7 linked regions of the Macaca mulatta genome follow. The protein of the gene in region 6 purifies or fractionates together with the protein of the main gene of each other region. This does not show direct contact. Links are inferred from orthologs where the notes say so. Each region holds a gene or a part of one and is shown on either strand. Other genes may lie near its edges.

Region 1 (4,077 bases), on a different chromosome or scaffold from region 6:
GTTGAGGTGGGGGGATCGCTTGAGCCCAGGAACTTGAGACTAGCCCTGGCAACATAGTGAGATCCCGTCTCTACAAGAAAATTAGCCGGGCGTGGTGGCATGTGCCTGTAGTCCCAGCTACTCAGGAGGCTGAGGTGGGAAGATCATTTGAGCCTGGGAGGTTGAGTCTACAGTAAGCCATGGTTGGACCACTGCACTCCAGCCTGGGCTACAGAGCAAGACCCTATCTCCAAAAGGAAAAAAAAAAAAAAGAGAGAGAGAGAAAGAAAATCTCCAGATGATGCTGGTGTATTCTTAACATCTCTCTAACATCTGCTAATCTCCCTTTTTGACAAAGAGACAGCAGGACTCAAGCTCAGAGCCTTCCACAGAAAACACTCTCGGCCCTCAGAACCCAGTGCCGCCGCCATGTCCTCCAGCGCTAGCGCGAGCGCCCTGCAGCGCCTGGTGGAGCAGCTCAAGTTGGAGGCTGGCATGGAGAGGATCAAGGTCCCTCAGGCAGCTGCAGAGCTTCAACAATACTGTATGCAGAATGCCTGCAAGGATGCCCTGCTGGTGGGTGTTCCAGCCGGAAGTAACCCCTTCCGGGAGCCCAGATCCTGTGCTTTACTCTGAAGGCTCTAGGAGAGAAGTTCACTGAGGAATGTCTTCGAGCACAAAGTGACGAATGACTGCCTTCAAGTCTCAAGAAAACACTTTTCCCTAGCTCTAATTAGAGATATTTTAGCCCTTTCCTGTGGCCTGGTCCTATAGCGAAAATCACAGAAATTCATGAGTTTCTACTTGAGTGAGGAAACTGGGTGAAGGAATAGTGTTTTAAATAGTAATAGCCTGTTTTTTTGTGCAAGTACTTTTATACATAAGACAAAGAAAAACCTTACCACCAAATATACCAAAATGCACCTGTTTCATAAGTGAGTTACTAATATTTCTATACCTGGAATATCATGTATGTTTTATTTACTGGATGTTTACATTTTAAGAAGGAAAATAGTTGTGTTTATTTAAACAAATGAATACTTGTAAACTGTTGTTCCTGGAAGATATTTAACACATAAAAAATGTGTTCTTTTCGGCCGGGCGCGGTGGCTCAAGCCTGTAATCCCAGCACTTTGGGAGGCCGAGACGGGCGGATCACGAGGTCAGGAGATCGAGACCATTCTGGCTAACAAGGTGAAACCCCGTCTCTACTAAAAAACACACAAAAAAACTAGCCAGGCGAGGTGGTGGGCGCCTGTAGTCCCAGCTACTTGGGAGGCTGAAGCAGGAGAATGGCGTAAACCGGGAGGCGGAGCTTGCAGTGAGCTGAGATCCGGCCACTGCACTCCAGCCTGGGTGACAGAGTGAGACTCCGTCTCAAAAAAAAAAAAAAAAGTGTTCTTTTCTCATGAATTCACAATTCCTAAATGAATACAAGAAAGTACAAATTGCTGGGAGGAAGAATAGGCTTTACTAATTGACGGATGTCTTGATTTTTCTAAATGGGAAGATTGTTTTATTTTTAACACTAAATATAGGAGCAGTTTCTTAGCAAACTTGTTTGGAAAAGTTAATGTTATGATGTGCATTAGGCTGCCCCATTGTGTATATAAATAAAGCAGATTCAATCTTCGTAAAAAAAAAAAAAAGAAAAGAAAACACTCTCGAGGCCAGGTGTAGTGGCTCATGCCTGTAATCCCAGCACTCTGGGAGGCCGAGGCAGGTGGATCACCTGAGGTCAGGAGTTTAACAACAGCCTGGCCAACATGGCGAAACCCTGTCTCTACTGAAAATACAAAAATTAGCTGGGCATGGTGGCAGGCACCTGTAATCCCAGCTACTTGGGAGGCTGAGGTGGGAGGATCGCTTGAACCCAGGAGGTGGAGGTTGTGGTGAGCTGAGATCACGCCACTGTACTCCAGCCCTGGCAACAGAGCAAGACTCTGTCTTACAAAAAAAAAAAGAAAAAAGAAAGAAAGAAAAAGAAAATACTCTCGAGTTAGGGTTTAATGACATTTCTGTTTTGTTTTTTTCTTTTTCTACCTTTCTTCTGTGTTTTGGTTTTTTTGAGACAGGCTGGAGTGCAGTGGCGTGTTCTCAGCTCACCACAACCTCCGCCTCCCGGGTTTAGGTGATTCTCCTGCCTCAGCCTCCCGAGTAGCTGGGATTACAGGCATGCACCACCGTGCCCAGCTAATTTTTGTATTTTTAGTAGAGATGGAGTTTCAGCATGTTGGCCAGGCTGGTTTCAAACTCCCGACCTCAGGTGATCCACCTGCTTGGCCTCCCAAACTGCTGGGATTACAGGTGTGAGCCTCTGTGCCCAGGCTCTACCTTTCTCCTTAACTTTATATACACAGGAAATAATTATAGTTTTCTACTTGTGTTGATGATGTGAAGTTTTTTTACAATAGGAGGGGAAAAAGATGTTGATTTAAAGACTAACAAAGTAAGTAATAGATTAGATGAGGCTATGGTAACAATCGTATCATATAAGCAGGAGGAAAGTGACTGAAGATTGTGAAACATTCACATGGTTCAACCACTTCATTGCAATGTGGGAAAACCGAGGCTCTGGCCAGGAGGAAGGTCAGCATCTGGGTTCAACTGTGAGTTAGCGGACACCACAGGCCCAGTCCTTCACCCATGCCCCCATCCCAAACCACCTCAACCACGTGGAGAACTGGCTCACCTGGTATCTTGCTCCGTGGGCCTCCTCAGGGTGGAAGCAGTTTTGACGGCGGTTCTGGGTAAGCATGTTGGCCTCAAAGTGTTCACAGGGGGCATCCCCAGGCACCTCCTCCATATTGGGTGAGTCAGGGCAGGGCAGTTCCTATAATCCAATGGCTGAACCTCTAGGTGAGGCCTGGCGAAAATGAGGGAGAGGCAAAGACCAGATGACTGGCTGGCCACTCACCTGAACCTCAGCCCCAGTTGCCCCAGTTTCCAGACAAGGACCAAGGAAATAAGGTTACTCATCCATTCCTTTGGATGTTCCTATTCTCCATCCATTCCTGTTCATTTATTCACTCAACAAACACTCGCTAAGCACCTACTAAGCACCCAAGCACTCTGCCAGCATTTGATGTGCGATTTCTAGTCCTTACTGCAGTGTTGCTGAAAGTGCATGCCAAGGACTCTGCATTACACCCTCCTGGGCTGTTCATAAAAATGCAGATACCAGGCCGGGCACAGTAGCTGATGCCTGTAATCCCAGCACTTTGGGAGGCCGAGGCGGGCCGATCACTTGAGGTCAGGAGTTCGAGACCAGCCTAGCCAATATGGTGAAACCCCGTCTCTACTAAAAATACAAAAATCAGCCGGGTGTGATGGGGTGTGCCTGTAATCCCAGCTACTTGGGAGCCTGAGGCAGGAAGATGGCTTGAACCCGGAAGGCGGAGGTTGCAGTGAGCCAAGATGGCACCATTGCACTCCAGCCTGGGCGACAGAGTGAGACTCCATCTCAAAACAAAAAACAAAAAAATGCACATTCCAGCTGTGCCCAGTGCGGACGGATCATTTGAGCCCAAGAGTTCAAGACCAGCCTGGGCAACTGGCGAAACCCCGTCTCTACAAAAAATACAAAAATTAGCTGGGCATGGTGGTGCGCGCCTGTAGTCCCAATTACTCAGAAGGCTGAGGCAGGAGAATTGCTTGAACCCAGGAGGTGGAGGTTGCAGTGAGCCGAGATCGTATCACTGCACTCCAGCCTGGGTGACAAGAGCGAGACTCTGTCTTTAAAAAAGAAAAAAAGGCCGGGCGCGGTGGCTCAAGCCTGTAATCCCAGCACTTTGGGAGGCCGAGACGGGCGGATCACGAGTTCAGGAGATCGAGACCATCCTGGCTAACACGGTGAAACCCCGTCTCTACTAAAATACAAAAAAAAATTAGCCGGGCGAGGTGGCGGGCGCCTGTACTCCCAGCTACTCGGGAGGCTGAGGCAGGAGAATGGCGTGAACCCGGGAGGCGGGGCTTGCAGTGAGCTGAGATCCGGCCACTGCACTCCAGCCTGGGCAACAGAGCTAGACTCCGTCTCAAAAAAAAAAAAAAAAAAAGAAAAAAAAAAGTGATTTCCCCGGTGATTCTAGTGCGCCCCAA
Region 2 (3,973 bases), on a different chromosome or scaffold from region 6:
ACAGAGGCTCTTAAGTAGTTATTATAAGATTTGTATCATCATAGCTGAAAATTACCCCGGAATTTTAAAATATTTTTCAAATGACTCCATGAAGCGCTTAGAAAGCACGACCCTTCCCTGAAAGATGCATAATCAGCTGTCCTCTTTTCCTACCCCGGCATTCTCTACTTGCAAACCACCGGGGGAAAAAAAAATTAACTTTGAAAAATAATCTCCCATTCAGCTATTACCTAGACTACCCTGTTTCAGGCTAGTTCCCAAAGCCAACACGAAATGAAATCTTGAGTTCAACTAAAAGTGATCATTTTATGTTGCCTAAGAATATAATCAATTTCACATAACATACATGTTTTTTGTGTGTGTCAGTTCTTAAAATCTCAGTTCTTTAGTTCTCTCCGTTCTTCTAAGCAACACAGTAATTTCTTTGCCCTCATGATGACCCTCTTTCCCACAATAAGGAAACAACATAGATATTTTTGTTAAATTCTGAAAGTATGTTTAAACAAGCTGTCATTAAACACCACATGAACTTCTCCATAAATAGAGATACACTGGAACATTAGATACTTAGTATATACTAAACACTTCAAAAGCATACTTCTCAGCACAAACCCAGGACAAGAGTAGTCTATCTACAACCCTGAACACAGTCCAAATATCCCTATTATTTCCAGGACCACAGCCATCTGCAAAAGCCAAAATGGAAAGGACTAAAGCCACATTCTTCTAACTAAATCCACAGTTATCTAAATGTGATGGAAACTAACGCAAGAGTATTTTAAATCGTCCTTTTTAAGGAACCCTCCAGAACATTTAACAGGAGCGCAACAGTACTCCAAAATTGAACTTAAATGTAATGAGCCAGTGACAACATTTAACTTACTATTTGGCACTATGACAAAACAAATCTCAATCAAAACCTGGACCTATTAATACTTCTATGTTACCTTTTGATTAAATATAAATTATACGGTGGCAGGTTGGTAATGTCAAAACAGGAAGGTTAAGAGAGAACACATCAAACCACTAATCCAATCGAACACAAATGCATACAGAGATGCTACTGCTGCTGGGTATTTATTGGCTCCCACTAGTCCCTTCTAAAGAGAGAAATCAATGACAGCCTCCAAATGTGAATGGTTACTGAGCAAGTTCATCCACAGATTAAGAACAAATACTATGTGTAGTCATACAGACAAGAAAAAAATGTTGGGAGGGTGGGACGTTTAATGTCTCTATTAAGTATACCAAACTATGATAAATCCTGAGACCTAAAATACCCTCTTATTCCAAAAGACATACATTCTGCAAATGTGCACAATGGTTTATTAATCAAATCTTGTCCTTCTCTTTATTCTAAAGGATGGGCAAGTAAACACGGTCATCACTAACGTGGAAACACTCAAGCACTTGATGAAACTCACTACCAACAGCAAGAAAAGTATAAGAAAGCAGTTTCAAATCGAATCATCCAAATAAAAATCATATTATCTCAATTCAAGGTTAATGAGACCGGGGGAGGGGGTATGGGAGGAGTAAAGAGGGAGCTGCTTCATCCTTGACTGAAGATAGGTTTTGCCCTTTTCCATTGCTTGTTTGTTATATTAGGAAGTCTAATATTTTCAGATCCTGGTATTCCGAGATTTCTTATTTTAAGGGCGAAGTGGAAAAGGGGCGTAAAATAAAATCAATACTCACTGCTAACTTTCATGCTGCCAAAAGCTGAAGGCTGCTGCACCGGCTTGCAGCTCTCCGCAAAGGAGGTGGTTCTGGGCCGCCCTGACATGATCACTCTCTTCGCGAATCACCTTTTCCTTCCTTCCTCCTTTTCTTCCTTTTGTCTTTATGTTGGGGTGTTAGGTTAATGATAAATGCAGCATTAAGTTCTCCCACAGAAGAAAAAGAAAAAGACTTCGTCCTCTTGGTTTTTCACTCCTTTTGTATACTATAAAAAACAAAACAAGCGATGTATTTCTCCTTCAAGACAGATCGGCACGGATATTTAACATATAGATGATTTACGGCTGGGGAAAAAATACAATTCCTTCCCCTCCCTTTCCTGGGAGGAGAGAAAAGAAGGGGCAAATCCTAAAAAAATATGTATCACGTGAAACAGGGGCAAATACTTGATTGAAAATGAGTACTTCGAATATTATATTTTCCTCGGGGATTTTTTTTCCGAGTCAATGAAGAAGGGAAGCGGCGGAAGGATCACGAGTCTCACGCTTGAAGAGAAAGGGGGATGGGTAGGAGGGAGGGAGAGGGAGGGAGGGGGTGGCTCGGAGATGCGACGGGAAACGCTGCAGCTCCGGCAGCCGTGGGATCCGGCGGGCTGACGGCGGGGGCCCGGCGAACTGGAGGGCGGCGGAGTCGCGAGTCAGTCAGAGGCGGGCGGTGGCGGCGGCTCCTCTCCTCATTGCGCCAGGAGCAGCTGCAGGCGGCGGCTGGATCCAGCGGCCATGGCGGCGGCGGTGGCGGAGGCAGCTCCCTTCAGACCCCAGGCAGCGGCTCCTCGACTGCTCCCCATACGCCGGGGACATGGGAACCCGGCAACCGCTTCCGTCCCTCGGGGCCCCCTCCCCCGTCCGCGGCAACAGCTCGGCCGCCCTCCCGCCCCTCGCCTCTGTTCGGTGCCCGCTCAGGAAGTGTCCGCGCTTTGCCCCCAGCCCAGAACCCTGTCAGCGGCTGCGGGGCCGGCTCCTCCTCGCTTCCTTCCTTCCTTCCTTTGTCACTCGGCCCGGGCGGCGGCGGCAGCGGCGGCACAAGCCCGCATTCGCCCGGGTCAGGGGCTGCTCTGTGTGAGGAGCGCTGTCTGCGCAGCCGCCTTGCACTTCCCCACTCCCCCTCCCCCTTCCTACTCTTCCTCCACCTCCTTCCTCCCCCACCCAGCCTTACACCGCCCAGCGCACCGCCGCCCGCGTAACAGGCGTCTGGGAATCGCCGCCCGAGCCCCACTCTCGCCCGCTTCGGCTGGGAGCCGAAGCCCGAACGGAGCCAATCACGGACGTCGTTTGTTTGCGGCTCCTCCCGGAAAAAGCCGATCGGCCTGAGAAACCAATTAGAAAGTGACGCTGGAAAGCCACGCCCAAAGAGCGGAAAATGCCGAAGGCAGCCGAACGGAAAGGGTGATTTCGCCTTGTTCGGTGGCTGGCTGGAGGAGACATTCGACAATGGCAACAGTGGCCAATCAGAGTCGCCGGCCCTCACGAAAAAGCTTGAAGAGTTGAAGACGGTGAAACCCAGAGACGCTGGTGAAACTGCACGGTTGGGCGCCGCCGCCGCTTTGTAATTGGCTGGAAAACTCCGCTGGGAGCGTACCTCCCTCGGTGATTGGTGAAGGGAAGGGGGCTTCCGAGGACAGTTTGGCCAGTCAGGACTTCCCCTCCCTCTCCAAGGTGGGGAGAAGAAAGCGAAGGGAGGGCGTCTATAAAGCGCCGTCTCATTGGCCGGAAGCTTAGGCGCTGGAGTTGGGGCAAAAGGGAGAGGGTGGAGCTCGAAACTCGCGGCGGTGGCCAATCGGCTCTCACTGCCGTCCAATCGCAAGACTTAGCTGCAGTGTGATTGGCCTTCGGCCTCCGTCCCAGGACCTGGGAGATGCCCGACTAGGGTCGTGGCTGACGACCCGACGGCTCGCCTGCGGCCTCCAACTACGGTGGAAACCGCACATAGGGACCGCCTGCCCTAGGCGCAGCAAATCGGAAAGTGCTGCGGTCGGCGGCGCTGGGTTCTAAGAGCTCAAGCGAGCAGAGGGGTCGAGGGGTTCTCCCCATCCACAGGAGGCTCTCGGCGGGGCGCAGCCAATTCTGCGCGCCTAAGGCTCCCCTCTGCCCTGGATCGCGTGTGCCGGGTGTCGGCCTCTTCCCCGAAAGGGCCTGACGGACAAAGGGGGCCTTCCCAGCCGGCAGCAAGCTCTCAGACGCTAAAATGGGAACAAAGCTTCTTTGGGCGGCCGCGCCCCGCCCAGCCTCGGGGG
Region 3 (3,500 bases), on a different chromosome or scaffold from region 6:
GAGGGCAGTGGACAGGGAGCCTGGGGGAGTTAGGGAGCGCAGGGCAGGGTCCATGGTGTGCAGACGGGGTGGTGGCCACCTGGGTGGTCAGTTCCTGGCAGGAATTACCACAGAAAGTGCCACACCCTCTAAGGCAACAGCAGTCGCCCCAAACAGCCACTTCCATGGGCTGGACCAGGCACCCTTGCTGGGGCATGGCTGGGGTTGCCCAGCATTTTCTAGTACAGCGTGGTCTCCATGCTCCGCTGTGCTGCGTGCTTCTTCACCAGCTTCGAGAGCTCTGCGTGGATAGTCTTGTTGGAAGGTTCCAGCTTCAGGACCGCCCTCAGGATAGGGATGACCTCACTGTACTCACCCTGCTGGGGCAGTATCTTGCCCTTGTGGAAGACAGCCTTAATGTTGTCCAGATGGTGCTCCCACGAGGTTGCAGGAGCACAGGGCTGCGCAGTAGTGGTCGAGCTTCACCTGTGAGGCCACCAGGTTGTTCAGACACCTCACCCTCAACTGCAGGAGCTGCTTCTCCTCCTCGAACGTCATGTCCACTTTGGCGCTGGAGGTGACGGTCTTGATGGCAAGGTCATAGGAGTTGGTGGCCAGGACGAAGTCCGCCCACTGGTAGTGGGCACTGCCGCACTCCCACTTCCGGTTGGCCAAGGCCACGCGCTCCTGCCCTATGAGCATCTCCAGGTCAGGCCAGTCCACGGCCATCTTCGGGGTCACCTCCAGGCATAGGGCCGCGTGCGGGGGATGTATGGGCTCCTGTCCTGGGGGCTGTAGCAGTACATGCAGTCAGCAGTGACCATGGCTGCCTCCCCCACGTCCATGAGTTAGACACTGAGATCCAGGGCCTGGATGACCTCACAGACGCTCAGGGTGAACACTAGCTCCGGCTCCTCCTGCACCCACATGCCATTCTCTTGTGATGTCTGCAAATGCATGGTGACCACCTGGCCCTTGACTGAGCAGCTCAAATCCGGTGGCCCTGGGACAAGCGTCTTCTTCCTCAACAGCTGGTTATGTCTGGCCACTCTTCTGGGGCCGGGGACGGGGCAGGCTCAGGCTCCATGGCAGTGAGGAACTCTCGGGCCAAGGTCCCGGGCTGTTCAGTCTCTTCCACCAGGGGCTGTCCCATGTCCTCCAGCAGTGGCAGCTCTCTAAGGTCATCTTCCTCCTCCTCTCCCTCCTTGCCCTCTGCATTCTCGACCCCATCCAGCACCTCGAAGTCCTCGAGCAGTGGGACCCTGGCAGGAGGCGGGGGCAGAGGGCTCAGAGGGTTCAGCACACGATGCCATGCTGCTGAGGGGATAGGAATTGGCCCTCTGGCTCCAGGACCCCTGCCTGCGGTCCTGTGCCCCCCTCCGCCATATTGAAATTTTTATGTTTCTGATCTATTTTTTGCTTTAGGTAAGGGGGCAAGGAAGACTGAACGAACCAAAAGGAAAAGCTATTTTTAAAGTTTTTTTTTTTTTTGGCCAAGTAAATAATAGCAAGCAAATAGCTACTTGATTAAACTATCAGTGTGCCTGTCTCCCTTTAAAAGCTTTGCATTTCCAAAATCAACTTAAGGACTAGAAAATATTTTCATTTGTTGCTAAGATTGAATTTTCATGGAAAAAAAAACTGCATTGGAATTCCCCCACACCCTCCCAAACTGCACCTTATCTTTGTTGTCTAGTAGAGCAGAAATCCGAGGGCTTGAAGAGGAACGGTAGATGGAAGAGCCTCGGTCCCTTAGAGGTTCCCTGGAATTGGCCACCTCACTCAGCATGTTGTGGCTGCCAGTTTTTCTCAGTCCCAATCTCCACGAAGAAGGAGATTCATCTTTGGGCTCTTCTGGCTTGTTAAAAAGGCCAGAAGAGAACTACGAGAGAAGCAAAAGAAATGAAAAATAAAGGCTCTGATGATTCTTTTTCAGCCTATTTGCCTTTTCCACACTTAACTAAGTTCAGCGAGGCAACATAAGGTAGCTAAGAACAAATACAGGGCAGTCTTTCTGCCAATGTTCCCTCCCTCACCCGGCAAACACTAATAACCTCTCCAGGCTCTTTCTTCCTAAGTCAAAAATAGCCTCGGATTCTTCACACAGTGCTCCTACCTGACAGAGTTGTTATGAGAAATTAAATACCATTTGCTATCCTTGTGCAATTAATACTGACCTGGAACACCAGGAGATTGTATTCGAGTAATGTATCTTCTTCTAACTCACTGTGGAACTGAAAATAAGATACTTTACTTCTCTAGGTCTCAACATGCTCACCTGTAAAATGATGATAATGAGCTTAATCCCTTATAATATGTGGAGACTGGAAAAAATGAGACCAGCTAATTTATCTTTTATTTTTTTTTTTTTGAAGTAGGGTCTCACTCTGTCGCCCAGGCTGGAGTACAGTGGCCTAATCAGAACTCACTGTAGCCTTGACCCCCTGGGCTCAAGTGATCCTCCCACCTCAGCCCACCAAGTAGCTGGGACTACCAGCATATACCACCATGCCTGGTTAATTTTCTCTAAATTTTAATAGAGACAAGTTCTCCCTATGTTGCCCAGGCTGGTCTCGAAGTCCTAAACTCGAGCAATCCTCACACCTCAGCCTCTCAAAGTGCTGTGATTACAGGCATGAGCCCATGTCCAGCCAGGAACAGGCTAATTTATAAATACATTTTAAGGTACTATGATAAAGTGATTTAAGTTAACATTGATAAAAATTCTAGAAGCCACTCCACTTAAATTCTGCTAATTTCAAGGAAATTTATTTGATCTAGAGTAGCAGTTTAGAGAGCTTTAGATTTCACTGAGCAGCCTCCAAAAAAAGCCAAAAAAAAACCCCATAAAACTAGAGGTCAAAGGGTTGCTATCTTTTTATCTTTTAAATTTAATTTTGCCAAAAGAAAACAACATTCTGAAAGATGTTTTCTTTTTGAACTCATCATCACCACCATTTCATTAAAAATGAAATGTTAATATCAAAAAAGAAAGCTTTATGGAAAGCTTACATTGTCCTTAATTATCTCATTTTGCCATAAACTAGGGAAACATCATAGATCAGTATTAGGCCAAGGACCAGTTTGGGGTACAACTAGTCTTTGGAACACAAGCCAACAGACCCTTCCTGAGGTCCAAGACCTTTTCAAGAAGACTTAGGCCTTTCTTCCAATATAAGGCTACCTTTACTGCCTGATACGGTGAAAATAAATAAAACTATTAATCACTAATCTCCAACTCACATAAGATTTTCTCTTTTCATCAGTCATCTGAATGTACACATGTATGTACTCCTTCCAGCTTTAGGGGTTCAATGTCAGCTTTTTACAAGCTACTCTGATTCTAAGGGGGAAAATGCCTTCCCCAGCATCATTTTAGCAAAGTAGAATAAGTATCTGTGTGTGTGTGTGTGTGTGTGTGTGTGTGTGTGTGTGTGTGTGTGGTGGTGGTGGTGGTGGTGCTGTTGTTGTTGTTTTTGAGACAGGGTCTCACTCTGTTGCCCACGCTGGAATGCAATGGC
Region 4 (3,500 bases), on a different chromosome or scaffold from region 6:
GATCAGGTGTCCTGAACTCTCCCTTTTTCCTACTCTCACTCCCCTTTTCCCGAAGGACACATGAGAAATCAGTGCAGGGCCAGGGCCAGGCCCAGCCTCCGGGCTCTGGGGTGGACTCTATCCCTCCCAGGACAGGGAACAGGGATCGGGGAGGTGTTGAGGCAATGCCCCCACCCCCCAAGCAGGAGGGTCGGAATGCAACAGAGACAGCACAATGATGGGGGAGAGGGAAGGGCCGAGAAGGTAGAATCTCAAGTCAAGAGGCCCAGGGGCCACCCAGGTGCCCCATGGGCAGGGAGCAGCCTCCAGTTGGCAGATGCTGGGAGAGCCCCAGCCCCGTTCCAGTCCAGAGACAAAAGCTGGAGTGTGTAAAGTCTGGCAGCTTGATGTGCAGGTGCTTGTGTCCATCGACCACCAGGCCAGCCCTTGGCAGCCCTCGGCCTCTGTGCCTCAGCCCCATGGGGCAGGAAAGAGGCCGCCCTTCCAGCCACCTCTGTCTGCCCAGGCCATCTTAAGGGGGCCTGTGATATGAGCCCTCTGGTCCCTGAAGCTGGGGGAGGTGGGGTGGAGGGGTGGGGGGGAGTCGGGGCACCTGTCCCCAGGCTGGTAGGGGGAGGGGTGGGGTGTTGAGGACAGGGGAGGGAGGACAATGGGAGGGGGTTAATTATTGTCCTGTCAAGGAATGATTCCTGTTAAGTAGAATTGGAATTCCTCAGTGTTTGCAAGTTTCCTTCCAGTTCTGAGATCTGGAAAACAAAGGAGGGTAGGGGGTCAGGTCTGGACACCAGGCATGATCCCAGCCCCTTCCACCCCCCTGGTGAGGACATGGCATCCCCTCCCTCCAGGACCCATAGGGTAGGGGCTTCAGTGCTGCTCCCTCCATTGGGCCCTGCCCACAGGGCGCCCCGAGCCCACCTTGTCCAGGAGCTTGTCCATCTCCTCCTTTCTGGCCAACTCTGACTCCTCCAGAACCCGACGCTGTGCAGTCTCCTTTTTCAGGAACTCTATCTCCCTGGGCATAGGCAAGGGACAGATGGCAGGTAAGGGTGTGTGGTCTGGCTTCCATCCAGGATGACCCAGGTCCTCAGCTCTACCTGGGCAGCTCTGTCCTCCCCTGTTCTCAGGTTGGGAGGCCCCAGGTTTTCCCAAAGCCTCTGGGGGTCTGGCTCTGTGCTGGCTCTGATGCATGTCATTCCAGGCTGGGTGTCCCACCATGGGGCCCTCCAACTTCTGTGCTCCTTGCCTCCCTACTCAGCTGGAGGGGTGGGGAGGGACTGCCCCCAAAAGCCTCTCAATGCTCCCTGGGCCCAGGCCGCCCAGCCCCCAGCCACGTACTTCTGCTGGTAGTCCTTGATGAGGCGCTTGGCTTTGCTATACTTGCGCTCCAGGGCCTGGTACTGCGCCTGAGTCTCCCGCAGGTGCTCGTCCACAGCCTGGCACAGGCTCTGGGCCTCGCCCCAGTAGCCTTCCAGTTTCTCCATGCGCTCCTTGTTCTCCTCCACACTCTGCTCCAACTGCGCCTTCTCCACCCGCCAGCGCCCCTTCTCCTGCTCCAGGCTTTGCAGCTGAGGGAGGAAGGCACGGCCCTGGGTTGGTGGGGGCCAGCAGGAGCCAAAGGGTACCCCCATCCTAGCACTGGTGCCAGAGTCGCCAGGGGATTCCTACAGTTGTGGAGTCCATTGCACCCCAACTACTAACCCTCTTTGACTGAGCCTGAGAACTGAAACCCAGAGAGGAAAGTAGAGCTCGGCCTCAGAGCTCCCACCAGACTCCCTGTCACTGCACCCCTCTCACAGGGAGGCTGGAGGCTTCGGTTTGTCGCTGATACTCTGACTTGGGGCAATGCAACTAATGTTCCAAGCCTCAGTAATCCCATCTGTCAAATGGGAGTGATATGTGCCTCCCAAGCTCACAAAAGCTCTAGTGAGACAGTACATGTGAAGTAAAAGGGCAGATGAGGGTCACCATCACTCTCTGTCCCCTCTCTGCAGCCCCAGCCCTGCTTGCCAGTCTCTGCTCCTCCATCGCTCTCTGTCCCCTCTCTGCAGCCCCAGCCCTGCTCGCCAGTCTCTGCTCCTCCATCGCTCTCTGTCCCCTCTCTGCAGCCCCAGCCCTGCTCGCCAGTCTCTGCTCCTCCATCGCTCTCTGTCCCCTCTCTGCAGCCCCAGCCCTGCTCGCCAGTCTCTGCTCCTCCATCGCTCTCTGTCCCCTCTCTGCAGCCCCAGCCCTGCTCGCCAGTCTGCTCCTGTGGCTTCCTGAACAATCCTGGTTCCTCTCCCAGCTTCCAGGTGACCCCAGCGCAGACCTCCAGTCCCCCACAGCTCAGTTCTGGATCCTCTGTTCTCTCTATACTCACTGCCCTGGGGCACTGGCCCATCTCCCACACCACCTGTGTGCACTCTGAGCCACAAATCTCAAGTCCCAGCCCAACCTTGCTCCCAACTCCCAGCTTTAGCTCCCAGCTCCTCCCAGGTACCATGCCCCAGACCAGACCCCCGCAGCTGCACAAACCTATGCCTTCTTTCCTGATTTGCTCTTTTAAAAGGCCCCACAACCTCACAGACATGTTGGCACTCAGTCTCAGGCCCCTTCCAGTATTTGCTGCAAACATCCCTTGCTCTCTGTCCCCCAGCCACACAGGCCTTCCTGCAGATCCTCAGACTTGCCACAGGGCCTCTGCATGTGCTGTCCCCTCTGCCTGGAACGTCCCCCATCTACCCTCCTGCTTGCCTAATTATTTCCCTCTATCTCACCCTTTGGCTCTCTACTCAGTGTGTCACTTCTCCAGAGAAGCCCCCACAACTCCCTGCAACAGCATAGCCCTATCCCCACCTCTACCCAAATCAGGTTCCTCCTGCTTTAGCAGCTCAGGAAGCCTGTTCTCTCCTACAGAGCCCCATGCCAGTGTGTGACAACACAGTCACTGGTTTGCAGATGCACAAGAACAATGGTCAGCTCTGGCTTTGCCCATCATGGTGATGGGAACAGTACCGGACATCTATAAGGTACCCAGAGGAGGTCTGTAAGTGGAACGCACAAACAGACCTTTGGCGTGTCCCTCCCCTTCATACTCTGCATACACCCCAGGAACACAGCCTGTCACTCTGACCCCGGAAATGCAGTGCTCACCCACCCTTCCTTTCCAGACCCTCTGCCAATACTCTGAGCAGTCCTGGCCTACCCCTACCAGAACACTGTCTGGGCCCCTAACCAGTTCGCCTGCCTCCCAGCACTGCCCACTTTCATGCCCTCCCACTTTGTAGGCAGTGGCTTTCCAAAAAATCCCAATGGCCACATACTCCATGCTATCTATAGGACCAAGGCCAGAGTCCTTAGAGGGGAGGCAGGACACTGCAAGCCAGAGCCTACCCTGGCAGTCCAGCCCTGCCTCCACCTCTCCCCGACAGGCATGCTGCCACCTCCTGGCTGGCCTCCCCCAAAGCCAGCCTCCATGCTCCACAGAGCTCCTCTCCCTGCCAGGAATGCCCCTGCTTCTGCCC
Region 5 (2,457 bases), on a different chromosome or scaffold from region 6:
AAGATCTCACTTGATCCCAGAATCCTGTGAGGAGGGCCTTCTGCTGCCGATTTTACAACGGAGAACACGGGCTCAGAGTGGGGAGGCAACCGTCCACCCGCAGCGACGGCAAGGCAGCGGCACTCAGCTCCGTCCGGCCGCCCTCTGGCCTCTCCAGCAGGTCAGCTGTCGGCTCACACCCCCCAGTGCGGACCCCTGCCCTGTGTGTGCCGGATGACCTGAAGCCATAAGCATGGCTGAAAGGAACCTCAGAGCCCTGTTTCCACCAAGATCCCAGAGAGGCTGAGTGAACTGCTAAAGGTCACACCACAAACTAAAGGCAGAACCTGACCAGACCCCCTCCTTCCCAAAAAGAACAGCTCTCATCTGCAGCCCGGAGAGCTCTGTCCACAGGGACCCGAGATGCAGCCAGGCCCTGGGGGAGGTCACAGCCAACCAGAGCCCCAGCTGTGGCCCAGTGCTGCCCATCAGGAAAATCACATATGGCTCAGCCCAGAAACTCTCCCCAGGCCCTTCCTATGTTACTGGCCTGTCATGTAAACCACAAATAGGGACGTGCCCCAGGCATGGGGCAGGAGGAGCCCAAAAAGGGCATAGCCTGGACAGGGTGGCAGGGGGACATTGCAGAGACTGTGGGGGAGGGGGATGACCTCCAAAAGCAAGGAGCAGCAGGCATTGGGTGGCTGGGTGCAGATCCCCAGGGGTGAGGGCACCCTGAGCTCCAGATATGGGGTCACAGGAAGGGCCCAGGGCAGCCTCCAGCCAGCCACAGACATGGTGAGCGGCCTTGTCCACGTGCCGGGGACCCAGTGCTTGGTGGGCCAGGCCACGGCACGTGGGCGAGAAGTGGTACCACCTGTGTCAAGACCCAGGTAGCGGTGCTGTCCGTCCAGTGTGGGTGGCAGCCGGGGAGTAGAGGGTTTGATGAGTGGCCCCTCCATCCCAGGCGGGACACAGGAGCCTGGACAGTCCCCAGGCTGGATCTCAGAAGCAGCCTCCTGCTCATGGGGCTCAGGGCTCGGGGCCCAGAGAGGGAACAAGGCGTCCGGGCTGCTCTGCTGCAGGAACGGCCGCGGCGTCTCCTTCCCAGGTTGCTGGTGTGTGAGGCGGGAGATGGCAGCTGGGCCAGTGCATCGGAGCCATGGCAGCTGGGCCAGGGCGGGCAGCGTCCTATGTACAGTTCACCACAGAGAAAGAAGACAAGGGCTGGACTGGAGGTCCTGCCCGTGTCTGGGGCCTGAAACTCCCCCTGGGGACTCCCAGCAGGGCCAGTCCACGTCCACAGAAGAGTGGCCCTACAAAGGCCCCTTGAACTGGTTCCCAGACAGGTGCTGCCGTATGGAGGGCTTGGAGCTGGCTGCATCTCCCAGCTTTCTCCAGACCACCTGTGAAGAGGACAGAGCTGTGAGTGGTGGCCTCACCCGCGTCCACCTGCCGGCTGTGTGCGTCCGCCGCCTCATCACGGCAGAATCACCCACGACCTCAGAGCCATGGGGCCAGGAGGGACGCCGAGGCCACTGCAGGCCCAGAGACACCCACATCAGGTCTTTGCATGCCCGCTATCGGGCCTGAGCAGGTCATTGCTGGGGTGTGGCTCAGCCTTGCAGCTGTCCAGTGGGGTCCATAAGCCCCACTAGGTGATGTGGGGGAGGGGCTGCACAGTTCAGAGCCCCTCGCCCCCATTTAAGCCCTGGGTTCATACCCTATGAAACTCCTTCCCCGATGGCTCCTGCAAGCACCCAAGGAGACCACTGATGGTGCTCAGCTGGGTTGGGCACGGGGCTCTCCTGGGCGGCCCCAGCCTGGCAGACTGAGGGTTTCCACCTGGACCTCCTGCTCTGAGCACCACCTGCCCAGCCAGCAGCCACGGGGGGCACCAGCAAGCTGGGAGGCCCAGGGGCCAGCACCCAGGGAACACCTGGGGTGAACAAACCAACCCCAGGGGGTGGGGGGCTCAGGCTCTGTCCAGAGCCCCTCATGGGGAGGGCAGATCTGCAGACACCACGGGCCCTCTGGGAAGGGCAGGGGGCAGTGAGGTGACGACCAGCCGGGGCTCTCAGTGCCTCCGAGGCCTCCCCTCAGCCATCCAAGGCCACTCAGCCCTCGCTGAGCATTCGAGAAATGGAGTCCCACATGGGGAAGGGTATGGCCATGCTGGGTGGCCCTGGTCACACTCCCAGTGCCAAGCCTCTGCCCCCCACCCCTGGAAGCCTCACGTTGCACATCTCGCGAACGATGGCCTTCTCCTTCTCACTCAGGTCCTCCTCGCAGCTGTCCTGGAGCTGCCGGTCCAGATTCTCATGTACCTCCAGGACCTGAAGGGAACGGGTCTTGGAGTCAGGGGCAGAGGCCACTGGCAGACCTTGGGCAAGTCACTTGGCCCCTGGGCCTCAGCCTCCCCTGCTGCACACCAAAGCTGAGGACCCTGAGCTGCTGGGCCCCTGGTGACAAGCGTGG
Region 6 (4,014 bases):
GCTGCTTATTTGTGTGATTTGGGCTAGGTTTTTTAACCATCTGTGCCTCGGTAAATCCCATCTACAAAGCAGAGATAATAATAGTACCTACCTCACAGGGCTGTTATAAGGATTAAATGAGGTAACGCGGGTGTAACATTTAAAACAGTGGCACAGCACATAACAGGGATATGAACAAATGTTAGCTACTATTAGTGATATGTGAGTGGGGGAAGTACTGCCTTGGACTTGGGGCAATATCAGATCTGAGTTTCTGGAAAAACACCTGTGGAATAAGTAAGGGTTGGCCACCTCCTAAAACAGGACAAAAGATCTGGCTTGCCTAGATCCTTAGCGTGACTGCCTCTCCTCCTGCCTTTCTAGAAGCAGTATTACGTGATGGAAATATTTGGTGGGTGCTGTGCGCACAAAGATAAGTTAGTGTGTTTTTATCCCCTAGGAGCTGAGTCGAGAGTGGGAGAAAAATGCATAAATAATTACCAGGTAGGATGATTAAGCAATATACTGGAAGCAGCAACAGAAACACACTGTGGAAAAAAGATACCCACGGCGTGGATGGAGATACAAGATGTGTGAAAGCGCTAAACACAGGCAGCCATATGCACCCATGTAAAATTGTATTATTGCTGACTCCTACAGGGCCCACTTTAACTCTTCTTTCAAACAGAATCCCTGCGGAACTAATTTTGTAGAACCACTGGGGGTAAAGACCTTTATTTGCAATGTCGAACTCCAGCAGAGTTAACCCCTTCTTGCTTTTCACAAGCGCAAACCCGGGTTCCAAACGCTGCAGTTCGCGTTTCCCGGCTAGGAAGAAACACGAGGAACTGCTTGCAGATCTAAGGTATGAAGCCATGAAAAGGAAAGCGAGGCCAAAAGGGTGCAACCACCACGTCTGGAAAACGCCAGTGAAGCAGAGGAGGAGGAAGGTGAGCCCTGCCCCAGCCCGCTCTGCGTAACCGGGGCTTCCTCCGAGCGGCAGAGCCGGGCACCTCCTTGGCGCCTGCGCCGCGGCGGCGAAACTCGGCGCCGTGGACGTGGAGAGAGAGGGCGACGCACCTGCGCGAAGACGGCGGCGGCAGAAGCCGCTCCAGTGCGGCTGCGCGGAGGCCCAGGCGTCGAGGGGAACCTCGGCGGGGAGCGCGCCGGGCGCCTGCGCGGAGAACTGCGTGACGCGGTGGCGCGCAAGGGACGTGCGGAGTGAGTGGCGCTGCGGGTGGGGCCGTCGGCGGCGCTGGTGAGCTTTGCGGAGCTGGGCGGTGCCGAGGACGAGGAGGTGGCGGCCTTGGTCTGACGCGGCCCTGTTTGTGGGGGCCCCTCTTGTTTATTTATTTATTTTCCGTGGGTGCCTCCGAGTGTGCGCGCGCTCTCGCTACCCAGCGGGGAGGGGGTGGGGGGAGGGCCCGGGAAAAGGGGGAGTTGGAGCCGGGGTCGAAACGCCGCGTGACTTGTAGGTGAGAGAACGCCGAGCCGTCGCCGCAGCCTCCGCCGCCGAGAAGCCCTTGTTCCCGCTGCTGGGAAGGAGAGTCTGTGCCGACAAGATGGCGGACGGGGAGCTGAACGTGGACAGCCTCATCACCCGGCTGCTGGAGGGTGAGTGCGCGCCGGGCCGTGGGACGGAGGGAGGTCGGGCGCCGCCGCCGACCCCTGCGTCCACCTCCGCCGCCGAAACGCGAGGGGACCTCTTTCCCGCCCCGAGGCTGTCTCTGGGAGCGCGGCGCGGCAGACCAGCCGAGGAGGGGGCGAGGAGGCTGCTGGGCGCCGGGGAGCGGCCTCCGGGAGCGCGGTCAGGGGAAATCGGGGGAGAGGGGGCCGTCCCCGCGGACCCTTGGTGGCCAGGCCCGCCGGCCGGCAGCTGTGCGGAGCGGGTCTGCGGGAGACAGCCTTTCGGAAAGGCCGCCGGGCTCCGCGCGCCGTCGTGCTCGCCTCCGGTGACTCCTCCGAGGAGGGGGAGAGGATGCCTGCCACCGGGCTTTGTGTGTCCGTGGAATCAGTGTTTCTTCTCTCTTTGTGCATTGCCCTTGGCTGCCTCCGATTGTCGTTCCGCGAGTGAATTTTATGTATATATATAAAAACCTGTCCGTAACAGGAATGCTTCGTCTGCTCTGCATTTTTACACGATGCCATAGAATGGATTCTTCTTAGAGAGGATAAAATTAGCGGGAATTTATCTACCATTTGTTATTCGGCCTAAAAAAATTGTAAGACAAAATATTTGATCAGGTTGAAGATGCACGTAAGAAATGTGATGTATGTAGATGTTGGCTTTTGCGTTTGATTTGAGCAGAGCTTAATTTCTGCACAACTTAGTGAAGATCTATTTTTAAAGCCTGTCTTGTGTTCGAAAGGTATTTGCAAGTCTACGCAGCATTTGAACTTTCCGGGCCCTGGTGTTCTTATCGAATAGTTTTATGTTGGTGGGAAGGCAAGGGGGGGGAAAGCCAGGAGTTAAATGTATTGATTCATTGCAGGATATTATTCAAAGTTAAATGCCAAACAGTCCTTCTACCCTAAAATTTTCGTCATCACTAGTTGTTTTGTGAGTGTGTAGAAAAGCCATTAATCCCTTTTAAACAATTTAGAGGCCTCTTTGTTAGCCGCCATCGAAGGATTGCATATGTACTGTTTGCTTTCAAATTACCTTAAGATAATTGTTTGCTACAGTAAAGCAACATGTACTTATATTTGGAAAATCATCAAAGAATATTTTAATGGGGGAGGGGTAACTCGTTTTTTTCAACGAATGTGTCGGTATCTAAAACCCAAGTTCTGTGTGTAGCCGTTCTGTAACTAAATACTGTATATTTGCTCCAGAAGTGAAAGCCATCCAGCAGTCTTAAGACTGAATAGGAAGCAAAAGTTTTACCAGGAACTCTTATTTACCTTTTCCTTTACTATCAAGTTATTCCTGGGAGGCCCCCTGGTGCCTGCAGTCAGTGTTCACTACCTAAGACTTTGTTTCAGATGTGAACGTCTTGCTGGGTCTTTGAGAAATTTGCTTTGAAGAAAAATTGTATTTTGTAACTGTTCTATGAGAGAAATACAGTTAATTTAAAAATGTATATGTCTTGTTTACATTTGGGAAAGTAGAGGCCTACTCTCCCCCCCCCCCCCCCCCACGGAGTCTCACTGTGTCTTCCAGGCTGGAGTGCAATGGCACGGTCTCGGCTCACTGCAACCTCCGCCTCCCGGGTTTGAGCGATTCTTCCGCCTCAGCCTCCCGAGTAGCTGGGATTACAGGCACTCCGCCATCATGCCCGGCTAATTTTTTTTTTGTATTTTTGTAGAGACGGAGGTTTCACCATCTTGGCCAGGCTGGTCTTGAACTCTTGACCTCGTGATCCACCCGCCTCAGCCTCCCAAAGTGCTGGGATTACCAGCGTGAGCCATCGCGCCGGACCCAATTTTATATATTTTAAACTTTGCTTGTAAATTTAAATATTTTAAAAATATGTTTGTATCTCAACTTTATATTTTATTTCATTTTCCATCTATTTTATAGGCATAAAACAGATTTATGTTTTAAAATGTTTGTATCCTTTCAAATTAGATGCACCTTTTTATGATTACAGGTACTTAAACTTCACGAGTGGGTTGTGGAAGGTTACTGGAAAAGACATTGGGGGAAAAATAGTCTAAGTGATTCAATTTGTTTTTGTGAATTCAAATTAAATATTTGGTTTTGTACAATCTTTTTTCCTTTTTGGGGGGCGGGGGTAAGAATTGTAGTCCAGACACATTTCTCTCAATTTAGCAAGCGTTAACATGCTGACCTCCTCCTTGCCAGGCACCAGCAATCCTAAAACAAGACACAGTCTCTTCACTCAAGGAGCTCCGAGTCTAAACAAGTGGCTTTCAGGCTTTTTCAGCCTTCTCTCTGTCCTGTGTTCAGCACACATTCTATCAGTAGATTTCAGTACTTCTTCATCCTACAGAAGCATATTTAGTTTGACAGTGCTACCCAGGGATTCTTAAATATTCTGGGTTTTTCACCTCCTTCCCAAATCGAGGCCT
Region 7 (3,500 bases), on a different chromosome or scaffold from region 6:
TCCAGGACAGACTAACTCTGGTTTTTAGGTAGAAAACGTAATGTACCCATGCCAACTCAAACCTTAACAGATACTGTGGTAAGCTAAATAATGGCTCTCGAAAGATGTCCACATCCTAATTCCCAGAACCTGTGAATGTTACTTTATATGGCAAAAGGCATCTTGCAGATGAAATTAAGGGTTTTGAAATGGAGAGGGAGATTATCGTGGATTATCTAGGTAGGCTTTAGGTGTAATCACAAGGGTCCTTATAAGAGGGAGGCAAGAAAATCAAAGGCTGAAGGAGGAGATGGGAAGACTGAGCAGATGCTGGAGTGATGTGCCTCGAAGATGGAGGAAGGGGCCATGAGCCACGGAATGCAGGCGGCCTCTGGTAACTGGAAAAGGCGAGGAACCAGCCCTGCCAACAACTTGAAGTTAGTCCAGTGAAAGCGATTTTGGACTTCTGTTCAATGCAACTATAAAATAATTCACTCATGTTGTTTTAAACAAATTTGTGGTGATTTGTTACAGTGGACCCAGGAAACCAATTTAGATAAGGAAGGGCTTTCCTGGGTGAAATAAGGAGAGGGGCCAAGAAGCAGCTTCAGATATATAGAGATGCAACTACTAGAGATCCTGGCCCCTAACAAGAAAAAGCTCTTGCCACTGCCAGAGATGAGGAATGTTGCAGAAAAAGGAGAAGGGGCAAAAAGTTAGGGTATGAGTGAGCACGTAGTCTCCTCCCACTGTCCTGTCGGTTCTTTCCTTCGCAGTGAATATCTGATCCATTGCATTGCTGATAACGACTGAGAATTCCACCAGTGGCTTCCTCTTTCGCCCTCACTGAAGAAATCAGTCAACTGCTCATTGAAGTACATTCCTTTGGGCTGGGAATCTTTTTGTTCATGCCCACTTGCCCTAGCAGCTGAGATGGTACGGAATCTGCCAGGCCCTCCACCCCAAACCAGGCAGCAGAAGCAAGCCCGCTCACCGCCAGCTGGTTCTGGAGCTGTTTGACTTGCTGCTGCAGTGCCTCCAGCTGCTGACTCTGCCTTTTGGATGAGCTTGTTGAGTAGGAGAGCTGGGAGAGGCTGTTCAGGGCCTCCTTCAATTTGGTGACTTCCTTTGACATCTCGTTTATCTAGGAACAAAGGAAAATGGTATTAACAGGCAGTAACATGTCTGCAAAGCAAAATTTCATATATTTCTAAGCCTCAAACATAGTCATCTCTTTTGGTCTCTGGGACTTAAGACTTTGGAACAATTCCCTTTTAATACATTTAAATAAAAAAACTCATAAAATGAAACAGATAACAAAATCAGGCAAACTAACAAAGCCCATTGCATCCATTAGGTTCAGATAAAGGCCCTTGAATTACATATTATGTTTTGGTGATGGTGGTAACAAAAGCTGTGATGTTGGTTTCCTATTTTAAAAGGGGTATGATTGAAAAAAAAATCAGAATTAGGATTTTAGGCTTTATTTGGAGACAGCTATATTTCATCCAATACTGCTGACATGGGCGATCAGGAATAAGGCCTAGGAAGCCTGCTATCTCTGGACATCTTTCTTTAAAGTAAACACAAGTAACTCCCCACCGTACCCCCACCACTCGCTAATCCCTGTTTCCCTGGCTGGTAAAGCTCTTTTGAAACACTCATTACAAAAGAATAAAGATAAGTAGTCTCTAATGAATGCCATTCGGAACCTCTGAGACAGGGGACTAGCGATGCAGAGCTGATTGAGGTGTGGAACTATCCCCCCGAACTTTCCCTTTGCTTCCCTCCTTCCTCCAGCAGCATGACCAGCACCATCTCCTGTGTCCAGTGCCATCTTAAACTGCTGGATCGCCACATTCCTCTTCCTCTCCTATATACCTGTCAAAGGAGGGGCCAGTGAGGGTAGCTTTTACGCTGACTTGAGGGGAAGCTGATGGACCTTAGGGGAGCAGGATTAAGTCTAGGAGTATTTTAGTTTCACATTATGGAGGAATCTGTTCTGAATCCAAAAAAAGAACTTGAAGTTTGAGGTGGATCACAAATACTTTTCAGTTTGCAAGTTCACTTCTGATCCCCAACACTGCCAAAGCTTCTGTAAAATGATTTTTGAAGGACAAATATGCATCACATATGTGAAAATGCTTTAGTATAAGGAGAAGTGGCCAAAGATTGATGTTTGCTTATTTATTATTTTTTGAGGCAGGGTCTTACTCTGTTGCCCAGGTTAGAGTGCAGTGGCGTTGATATGGCTCATGACAACCTTGACTTCTAGCGCTCTAGTGATTTTCCTGCCTTAGCCTCTTAAGTGGCTGGGACTACATGCTCGCACCACCATGCCTGGCTAATTTTTAAATTTTTTGTACAGATGGGGTCTCACTATGTTGCTGAGGCTGGTCTCAAGCCATCCTCCCATTATGGCCTCCCAAACTGCTGGAATTAGAGGAGTAAGCCACTATGCCCAGCAGATGTGTTTTTAAAATATAAATACCCAACAAACTATTCTTTTTGAGATGAAGTCTTACTCTGTTGCCCAGGCTGGAGTGCAGTGGCCTGATCTTGGCTCACTGCAACCTCCACCTCCTGAGGTTCAAGTAATTCTCCTGCCTCAGCCTCCCTAGTAGCTGGGATTACAGGCATGTACCACCACACCCAGCTAACTTTTGTATTTTTAGTAGAGATGTGGTTTCACCATGTTGGCCAGGATGGTCTCAAACTCCTGACCTCAAGTGATCTGCCCACCTCAGCCTCCCAAAGTGTTGGGATTATAGGCGTGAGCCACCACATCTGGCCGATCCAACAAACTATTCTTAATGTGGCTTTGGGGACAGATAAAGTTCATGTGCAGAGTCTCTGAGCATTCACTCCAGTTTAGTGCCAACACTAGAAGTATTTAATGTAGTAAAAGCCAAAGAGACTAAGACTTATTGCTAGAAACCCAACAGCAATGCAGTTTCACCAACCTTTTTATCCTTATCTTCCTCCAGTTTTGAAGAGCTCTCAGAATATCTTTTCATTTCTGCAAGTTCTTCCTGAGCTTGCTGGAATTTTTGCAGAAGTTCATTTACTTCTTGCTCTTTGGATTTCAAGAGAGTCTGAATATTTTCCTTTTCTCTTTTCACCTGTGAGACCTCACTTCTAATCTGGGCAACCTCTGAATGGACCTTCTCTTTCTCTTTCACTGATTCCTTTAATTTCGATGCCAACACACTCACTTCACTCTCTAAGGATGACTGGAGCTTTTCATAGGAAGACCGGGGTACCATTGCATCAGTCATAGCAGCTTTCTCTTCTAAGAGTTGTTTCTCCAGCTTTGCTACTTCCACTTCCTTGCTTGCAAGGTGTTCCTTAAGATTGCTTATTTTTTCTTCCATCTCTTTTGCTGCAGTCCGCAGCGTGGTTATCACTTGCAAATGTTCTGTGATAGAGACAGAGTTCTCTTTCTGTGCATCGACCAGTTGTTTGAGCTGGGTCAACTCGTTCAACACTTTTGAATACTGAGACTTCATTTCGGACAGTGC

Evidence for each region.
Region 1: the proteins of PPP1CB (region 6) and TRIOBP purify together in Homo sapiens (affinity purification with mass spectrometry; 3 studies listed by BioGRID and IntAct, with this or other methods). This does not show direct contact. The link is inferred for Macaca mulatta from reciprocal best matches to the Homo sapiens genes PPP1CB and TRIOBP.
Region 2: the proteins of PPP1CB (region 6) and GSK3B purify together in Homo sapiens (affinity purification with mass spectrometry; 3 studies listed by BioGRID and IntAct, with this or other methods). This does not show direct contact. The link is inferred for Macaca mulatta from reciprocal best matches to the Homo sapiens genes PPP1CB and GSK3B.
Region 3: the proteins of PPP1CB (region 6) and PPP1R12B purify together in Homo sapiens (affinity purification with mass spectrometry; 4 studies listed by BioGRID and IntAct, with this or other methods). This does not show direct contact. The link is inferred for Macaca mulatta from reciprocal best matches to the Homo sapiens genes PPP1CB and PPP1R12B.
Region 4: the proteins of PPP1CB (region 6) and PPP1R9B purify together in Homo sapiens (affinity purification with mass spectrometry; 4 studies listed by BioGRID and IntAct, with this or other methods). This does not show direct contact. The link is inferred for Macaca mulatta from reciprocal best matches to the Homo sapiens genes PPP1CB and PPP1R9B.
Region 5: the proteins of PPP1CB (region 6) and CCDC85C purify together in Homo sapiens (affinity purification with mass spectrometry; 3 studies listed by BioGRID and IntAct, with this or other methods). This does not show direct contact. The link is inferred for Macaca mulatta from reciprocal best matches to the Homo sapiens genes PPP1CB and CCDC85C.
Region 7: the proteins of PPP1CB (region 6) and RAI14 purify together in Homo sapiens (affinity purification with mass spectrometry; 3 studies listed by BioGRID and IntAct, with this or other methods). This does not show direct contact. The link is inferred for Macaca mulatta from reciprocal best matches to the Homo sapiens genes PPP1CB and RAI14.

Annotation. Positions count from the first base shown.
Region 1 is NC_133415.1:13,825,858-13,829,934, forward strand, and holds the start of TRIOBP (TRIO and F-actin-binding protein), read right to left. Parts: upstream 2,801-4,077; 5' UTR 2,786-2,800; coding exon 2,672-2,785; intron 1,011-2,671; exon of another isoform or gene 616-1,010; coding exon of another isoform or gene 338-615; intron 1-337. Other genes in the region: uncharacterized protein LOC107000659, read left to right, coding at 338-615.
Region 2 is NC_133407.1:163,632,914-163,636,886, reverse strand, and holds the start of GSK3B (glycogen synthase kinase-3 beta), read right to left. Parts: upstream 2,801-3,973; 5' UTR 1,787-2,800; coding exon 1,699-1,786; intron 1-1,698. UniProt on the Homo sapiens protein: Constitutively active protein kinase that acts as a negative regulator in the hormonal control of glucose homeostasis, Wnt signaling and regulation of transcription factors and microtubules, by phosphorylating and inactivating glycogen synthase (GYS1 or GYS2), EIF2B, CTNNB1/beta-catenin, APC, AXIN1, DPYSL2/CRMP2, JUN, NFATC1/NFATC, MAPT/TAU and MACF1.
Region 3 is NC_133406.1:60,098,549-60,102,048, reverse strand, and holds part of PPP1R12B (protein phosphatase 1 regulatory subunit 12B), read right to left. Parts: intron 1,862-3,500; coding exon 1,658-1,861; intron 1,416-1,657; exon of another isoform or gene 1-1,415. UniProt on the Homo sapiens protein: Regulates myosin phosphatase activity. Augments Ca(2+) sensitivity of the contractile apparatus.
Region 4 is NC_133421.1:59,875,257-59,878,756, reverse strand, and holds part of PPP1R9B (neurabin-2), read right to left. Parts: intron 1,566-3,500; coding exon 1,336-1,565; intron 1,013-1,335; coding exon 916-1,012; intron 747-915; coding exon 693-746; 3' UTR 1-692. UniProt on the Homo sapiens protein: Seems to act as a scaffold protein in multiple signaling pathways. Modulates excitatory synaptic transmission and dendritic spine morphology. Binds to actin filaments (F-actin) and shows cross-linking activity. Binds along the sides of the F-actin.
Region 5 is NC_133412.1:172,838,191-172,840,647, forward strand, and holds part of CCDC85C (coiled-coil domain-containing protein 85C), read right to left. Parts: intron 2,316-2,457; coding exon 2,217-2,315; intron 1,386-2,216; coding exon 1,296-1,385; 3' UTR 1-1,295. UniProt on the Homo sapiens protein: May play a role in cell-cell adhesion and epithelium development through its interaction with proteins of the beta-catenin family. May play an important role in cortical development, especially in the maintenance of radial glia.
Region 6 is NC_133418.1:96,222,336-96,226,349, reverse strand, and holds the start of PPP1CB (serine/threonine-protein phosphatase PP1-beta catalytic subunit), read left to right. Parts: upstream 1-1,214; 5' UTR 1,215-1,541; coding exon 1,542-1,593; intron 1,594-4,014. UniProt on the Homo sapiens protein: Protein phosphatase that associates with over 200 regulatory proteins to form highly specific holoenzymes which dephosphorylate hundreds of biological targets.
Region 7 is NC_133411.1:35,887,697-35,891,196, reverse strand, and holds part of RAI14 (ankycorbin), read right to left. Parts: coding exon 2,943-3,500; intron 1,124-2,942; coding exon 974-1,123; intron 1-973. UniProt on the Homo sapiens protein: Plays a role in actin regulation at the ectoplasmic specialization, a type of cell junction specific to testis. Important for establishment of sperm polarity and normal spermatid adhesion.